Linked DNA regions of Drosophila melanogaster. Changing the gene in region 2 together with the main gene of any one other region gives a genetic interaction. Each region holds a gene or a part of one and is shown on either strand. Other genes may lie near its edges.

What was found.
Region 1: of loqs (region 2) and mei-P26, changing one suppresses a phenotype caused by changing the other (phenotypic suppression), as found in Drosophila melanogaster (one study listed by BioGRID).

Annotation. Positions count from the first base shown.
Region 1 is NC_004354.4:9,161,255-9,164,854, reverse strand, and holds the start of mei-P26 (meiotic P26), read right to left. Parts: upstream 1,601-3,600; 5' UTR 1,457-1,600; intron 693-1,456; exon of another isoform or gene 521-692; intron 1-520. Other genes in the region: CG44532 (uncharacterized protein), read right to left, coding at 1,829-2,380; Zpr1, read left to right, coding at 2,881-3,553.
Region 2 is NT_033779.5:13,380,926-13,384,881, reverse strand, and holds the start of loqs (loquacious), read right to left. Parts: upstream 2,231-3,956; 5' UTR 2,095-2,230; intron 1,987-2,094; 5' UTR 1,943-1,986; coding exon 1,218-1,942; intron 1,146-1,217; coding exon 860-1,145; coding exon of another isoform or gene 791-859; exon of another isoform or gene 717-790; intron 356-716; coding exon of another isoform or gene 226-355; coding exon 88-225; intron 61-87; exon of another isoform or gene 1-60. Other genes in the region: beta'COP (coat protein (coatomer) beta'), read right to left, coding at 2,701-3,887.

The sequences.
Region 1 (3,600 bases), on a different chromosome or scaffold from region 2:
AATGGAGAGAGTGGGGAAGGGGGTGGTAGTATCGGTTCCCTTTTGCGTTAAGTTTACGTTACGTTTTTCTCCGTTATGTGTAGCTATGCGCCACACACACACACACACACACACACATCAAGCTCTTCTTTACTCCTGCTTCCTGCTTTTGCTACCCGTTCACGCAGGCGCGTTCATAGTGATGACCTTTCTAGCCATTTATCCGCTAGCTGCGCAAAAAAATAGCTGCCCTAACAAGGACAAGCTGGGGCACAAAGTCCTTGAACAACTAATTCAATTGGGGCAAGGCAATTGCCTAAATAAATACGTTTAAATCAGCGGAAGTGAGCGGTAGTTTAAAATCTACTTTAGTTTTGTGCCCCCTCCAAACACTCGCAACCAAACACCCACATGCCGAATCAGCTGCATACACACAGACACAAGCGCCTACAAGCGAACACACGTGGTAAACGGAATTTAGTACCGCTGCTTTGCCCCTTTTTTTCACTGTTCTGTTTTATTTTGCTTTGCTTTATCGGACCTGGATGATTTTGTTGGTCCCCCTATCGACTTTGTCAATTCTGCGCCGCAGCTGATATTTTCTTGTCCATTTCCACGTACTTTTTGATTTATTTCACTTTTAAATGTGTGCCGCTCTCTCTCTTGCTACTCGCAAACGGTTATTTTCGAGTGCAGCGCTGGCTGGGCTGCGAAAGAGATAGAAGAGGAGCGATAAGCGATTGAGAGAGAGAGAGAGCGAAAAATCGGTTATGCGAAGAAAAGTTCTCAATTTCGTTCGTATTGGTGTGCGCAAGCTCACTCAACGCGGCAAAAAATGAAATACGAATACGAAAAACGGCACCCACACATACAGAATACAAAAAAAAACACACACACACACCATGTGAAATTAAAACTGAATTCCCTTTTTCGATTTCGGAATAAACACTATTCTTGACCGACCGGACGAACTGTCGTCGATTTAAAAGTTTTAGTTGGGGGGCGCGGGTGGTGGCTAAGACAACTCTCGACGGGGTCGCGGGGTGACAATCGACAAGGGGGGGCACTGCCGTTGTCCTTGAACGCAAAATTTCCACTTGACTACCGCCCAGGTGGTCGTGGTCAAAAGGCACTCAACACACACGCCTGCACATGCATACACACACACTCTCACAAACCGAACAGCAGACAGGAGGCGAAAAAGGTCCTTGAAATGCCTGAACACTTCACTGTCTGTCCGGCGTTGTCAGCTTTTACTGTCCAATTTAAACTGCTAACTGCTTTTTCGCAACTGTCACCACCTTATATTTAAATGTAGTTTTCGTTTTCACACGTTTTTTTGTTGGTTCTTTTTGTTTTTTGCTGCTCTCTTTTGCTTGTTACGTTACGATTTTATATTTGCCCGTCCCACACAAACGCCTACACGCAGGAACACAAGAGAACACTACACACCACAGGCAGTTATATCTACAGTTACCGTTATTCACTGATTCAGCGAATTTAGCACGTTCTGGGACATTAAAAACAACCAGAAGACCGCCAATTTGATTGGAGTCGATAATTATTGGATTAAACAAATAATTACTTTACTGCTCCCGTCGAACTTTTGTATGCAGTGCAGCTAGGGATGATAGATATATATTTCAGCACAGCCACGTATCGATAGTTTTTGAAAAGCGATGCCCTGATATCGATAGTTATATTGAATAAACGCGTATCGGTCGCCAAATATTTATTTTAAGTTTTCATTCCGCAAAGCTTACATCTTTAATAAGTATAATATAATTATATATATATATATTTAAATAATAACACAAAATACGCTTTATTATTACATGTTACATTACATTTAAATGTCAGTTTGACTCATTTCCGCATGCATATTTTGCATATCAGTTAAATAGGGTAAAATGATGGGATTAATCCCATTCCTTGTCACGCATTCCAACTCGTTTATAATATTATCCAATCTGTCCATCAATATCCGATGCTCTCTAAGCATAGAATTGAATTGATCTTCAGAATTCTGCTGCGATGCGGGCACGTGTTTAGTATCCAATTCCGATGCGTGCACGTTTTCAGTATCATTTTCCGATGCGTGCAGTTTTCGATTGAATTCTGATGTATATTCAACTACCAAAGTCTTTATTTTGACAAAGAAGTTGTTTTTAAAGTATGTATGTTCCATTTGCGTCTTTTCGTTGCGAGTTTTAATAGTATTTTCCCCTTTGGAAAATGCATCCCACAAGCTTTGCAATTTGGATAGTCGCCCTTCAAAATATCCAGGTTTAGATTTCCGTTGAGCCGGAGCCTTTTTATAATTGCGAATAATGCTTTGAATCTTCTCGCCCAAATTCATTTGCTCGGCCAACAGCGCACTAATGCTCGACGATCCGGCCATCTTAATTGAAAGTCTCTTAAAATGGTAACAGGAATATCAACAATTCAATGATACTCTAAGCTTGGCTCTTTTTGTACTGCCTTGAATTGTCGCTCTACAAAAGGACTCCAGTTATTTCTGAAAGCGCAGGTAATTTTAGGAAGAACGTGTGTCAGGTAGGTGGTATTCCCAGATTAATATGCAGATGGCCAATCAGTTTTTGTTTTATGGCCTTACCGTGTACCGCTACAGGTAAGCTCTTAAATTTATTTGTGCACCTTTTTATTTCGGGGAATTTTCTATCGAACACGAGTAAATTCTCGAGCGTTTAAGATCAACGCGCCGAGCACACTTCTGGGTATTTAAGGAGTTTTAAGCATATGCAAGCCGGTCACACGACGACTATCGACACTTATCGTCAGCGTCTATCGATTAAACTTGCACGTTTCGCCCCAAACATATACATTTCATTTAAAAAAGCACACTTAAACAGGAACTTTCGTGTGGATAGCAATCAAATCATGTCCACCGTGAGCGACCCCAACAGTAGCAATCCGCCGGAGAGTGCGGGGAACATTCGGCCGGAGCCCATTTTCCGGGAAATCAATGCGGAGCAGACCGACGAGATAGTGGAGGTCGAATCCGCCTGCATGAACTGCTTCGAAACGGGAGTCACTCGGCTGCTGCCCACCAAGATACCCTTTTTTCGCGAGGTGGTGCTCATGTCCTTCAAGTGCGACCACTGCGGCCACATCAACAACGAGATGCAGTCGGCATCGGAGATCCAAAAGTCCGGCATTCGCATCGAACTGCGAGTGCAATCCGTGGCTGATCTCAATCGGCGCGTGGTGCGCTCGGATAACTCCAGCATCAGCATACCGGAGATCGAGCTAGAGATTCCGGTGCAGTCGCAGAAGGGCGAGGTGACCACCGTCGAAGGCATCATCGAGCGGACGATAGCCGGCTTGTCGCAGGATCAGGAGAAGCGGCGCATCGATCATCCGGAGACAGCTGCTTCAATTGAAAAGTACATCGAGCGATTGCACCGCCTAAAGGAGGTGACAACACCCTTTCAAGTGCTTCTCGAGGACATATCCGGCAATAGTTTCATCGAGAATCCCCTGGCACCTGCCGCCGATCCGCAGCTAAAGACTTCGTACTTCACACGCAGCCAGCAGCAGAACGAGCAATTGGGTGAGGCCTCTTTGTAAAATTAGAAACTTAACCAGTGGAGATAGCCA
Region 2 (3,956 bases):
ATATGTACTTTCGAAAGCAGGTTTTGAATGTTGGAAATATGTTTGTGATCGTTTTTGAATAAAAAGCGTTATTGGATTGAAATTTACCTGTAACTTAAGCAGTTTTTTGCCCGTTGCATTTTTTAGGGTCTTATGGAACTGGGATACTTTGTTACTGTGCTGCGTGGTCAGTGTCGGCACAGAGATATCTTTCAATTCACCATAATAATTTTCACTACTGCGGGGCTGTAAATAAGAGCGCAAAGTTTTTGGTTTCTTTTCTCCATTGCATTTCGCACACATTTGAAATCACACACGCCAATGGTGAGTTGAAACATATCACTTTTGTGTGGAAAAGGTGCTTTACAGATTCGTTCTTTAAAACAATCACCATGCCAAGGAACAATATGAAAAATGAAAAATGAAATAAGCCAATATAAACCATAAATAAAACCAGAAATATAAATAAGGTGTAAGCATTATGTTAATTATATGTATAATTATGTCAAAAACATTAGTTATAAAAACAAGGACAATAAAAAATATCAGATAGCACACTATAAAAGGGATGCTATAGTACTAAAACTCTAGCTAGATACATAATTTAAAAGATTATAGGGATATTTACAACTGAGGATTACTCTAAACGTTCTACATTACATTTGAGAAGGGATAGAGGACAAACGTATTAAATAATATATAACATTTATGACATATATTTGATAAAATCAATTTTTAAAATTTTATAAACTAAAGCATGGGACTGCATTCAAAATAATTGCACTAAAAATATTAGAAAATTGCTTGTGGGTTAGATCTTGATGAACTCAAAATCTTTAGAGACTTGCTCGTAACGATCGATGTCTTGAATGATACTCACTTCGCCCTCCAACTCGCCGCAGATGCTGTCGCTGATTTTGCCCGAATCGATGGGAGTCTCCTGCAGACGCATCCACATGCGGTGGGCGGCCAAGCGCTTGGCTATCTTCTTGCTTTTGCCCTTGCCCATCTCGCGGTAGTTGAGTATCGAGCAGGCGATCGTAAAGAGCCGCTCGTGGGGAAGACCCACTTCCGTTTCCGTTTCGTACGACGGCGGTGGCCATCGCCGTTGCATGCACATTTCCTGCAACCAGCCAATCGGATTACCAACGGTCTTGTCGCTGGCACTGCAAGGACATAATACAATAAATTGGATATCTTAGAATCATATCTTAGACATCAATAGAATAAAAACTCACTCTCCTCCGCCTGTGGCATTGGCATTGCCGTCTCCTCCGCTTCCGGCGACCGTGAGCCCAGTCACCGACGGACCAGCGGAGCTGCTAGGCGATTCCGGCAGCTGCGCGCCGATCAGCTTGTCGATGAGCGCACGGGCCGCCGCATGCTTGGCCTCCTTCTTCGATCGTCCTGCCCCCATGGCCGTGAAGGGCGTATCCTTGTCTTTAAAGGACACGCGAAACCGGAAGGTCGGCTCATGTATGGCGCCCTCGATCTGGACAAGTTCATAGCCGGGAGTAATTCCTCGTCGGCTTAGCAGCTCTTGCAGAATGCTGACGGGCGTCTTCATGGCCAGTCCATTGGCGTCCGTTTCGCTGACGAACTTTAAGGCCTCGTCGCTGGGCAATATTACGCCCATAAGGCCGACTCCACCTTGTAAGCCCGATCCGCCCGCCAAGGCAGGATCACCAACATCTGACAGCTGCAGCTGACCTGGCTGAGACAGCTGCGCAACCTGGGCGGATATCTTCTCCTTCTTGAGCTTCACATGGCGCTGCCCCAGCGGAGCACCCTTCACCGGACTACCACTGACGGCATTTCCATTGCCCAGGCCGACAAGGTTATTATAGTGCCGCCGTGGAGCAAATCCCGTCTGGACAGGATTGGGGGACGCCTGCTGCGGCTGGATGTGGAGGTTCTGTAGCTGCTGCGGCAAGCTGGAGCCGTGGAAATTCTCCTGGTCCATGGTGTTCTTGTTTTGCACGGTTTTCGGGAGGATTCGGTGTGTATCTGTTTAAAATTTCGGGGTAATTGTTGTTTGAAAAATCGATACATCACCGACGAATAGCGGGCGAAAAGTCCAGTTGACACTCTCGCCGAAATTCGGGGAGTACTCACGTTTGAATCGCGGTTTTAACTGTTTTTTATTTAATAATAATTTATTAATGGTTAGTTAATAATTCATTCTTAAATAAAAAATACAGCAAAATCCAGACGCACACACGAATTGTATGTATTTTACTGATATTTGTGGTTGCCAGACTTTTTTTGGATTGCCTACTTATTACACCCCCTACTCGTAGAGTAAATATGTTGAAATAAATGTATGTAACAGGTACAGAACATTTTTTTGTACAAATATATAATAAAATAGACCATGAATACTAATTTAACTCAAAAAAAAAAAAGAACAAAAATAATTTTTAATTTCTCCTGGCATGATCGTAAGTTTGTTTAAAAGTTTTATCGATAAGATATCAGAATGTAATCGAAATAGTTGAAGTGAGCGCCATATTTGAAATTGTTGTATAAGTATTTATTGCAGTGTTTGCTCCATTACTGTTGTACATATTATTAATAGATATATATTTAAACAACATTCAATCAAATCAAATGTGAATGCATGCGCGGAATTCTGTGGCTCGAAATGCACGAAATGTGGGACTCCCGTAGCAGTAAACGATAGTTTAAATGGTATTCTAGATCTGGCTGTGATCTTCCGTCCTAATCGTCGCTTAGAAAATCGTCATCGAGGTTCACATCTGTCGTATCAATGTTATCATCCAACGTAATTCCATCTATTTCCAAGTCCAGGTCGTCGTCGTCATCCGCAGCGGATGTAGGCTCGGCCACCTGGCTGCTAGAAACAACAGCTTGAGCGGGAACGTAAGCTGGCTTCACCTTCTCCTCCAAATGCTGGCCGGCGGCACCCTGCTCGGCGGCAAATAGTTCTTGCAGAGGATGACGTTCGCTATTCAGTGGTAGATTCGCAGCGAGGCGTGCCGGCGCCTTACGAGCTCGCTCCTCCTGCAAATGCTGCTCCACCCGCAGCGCATCGCCCAGGCCAGGGAAGAGATTTGTATACTGTGCCGGATCGGCCAGCGACTGTCCCGCCTTTTCGTTGACCTTTCCAAGCTTCTCCCGCCAAAGCTCTACGATCCTTGACATCTGGCTGGGCAGGTAGGTGCGGGCAAAGAACGCTGCCTCTGGCAACCGATTTGTCTCAATGAGAATCTCCAAGCAGCGTTCCACGTCTGAACGAAGGAACGCCGAGAGGAAAGCTAGATTGTGATGTCCCTGGGCCGAGCCAGCCGCACCCACCACCTCGAGCAGCTGGGCATCGCCGGAAGCTGTTGAGAGCAGCAATAGACCGCTTAAGTCGTTTGCCTTCTGCATGCACTCTTTAACCAGAGACATGTTGTTCTTGCTAGACGCCACATCTGCCAGCTGTGACCACTTCTGGGAGTTCTCCGACTCACGGGCCAGCTTTAAGGCGATTTCCAAATCTCCGATCTGTAAGGCCAAGTCAAACTTATGGTCGGCATCGGTAGAGACTTGCAGGGCCTGCGACTTAAAGCCCTGTTTCTCCAGAAAATGTGCCACCCTAGTGCGGTGCTCCTTGGGAATGGTCGGTAGCACAACGTCTGCGCGCTCAAAGTCTCTTCGCATAACCGCCGTCTGGTACTCCAGCACGGACAGCTGCAGACAGAAACTGATCACGTTCAACTCCTTATCGCCGAGGTAAATACGATTGTCCTTGGGCACGTAGCCCAGCAGATACATTGTGCGGTCTAAGTGGGATACTGTCACAATCTCGCCGCCCACGTAGTAGTTGATGCGGTTCACCGAGTTGGTATAGATGAAGCAGTCTCCCACCCAAAGTCCTGTTTTGACGCACTCCGAAACCTCGCCTGCAACACAAATGCATAATACAATACAATTATACTTTCTTGCTATTATGTGGTAAATGGAAATATTTT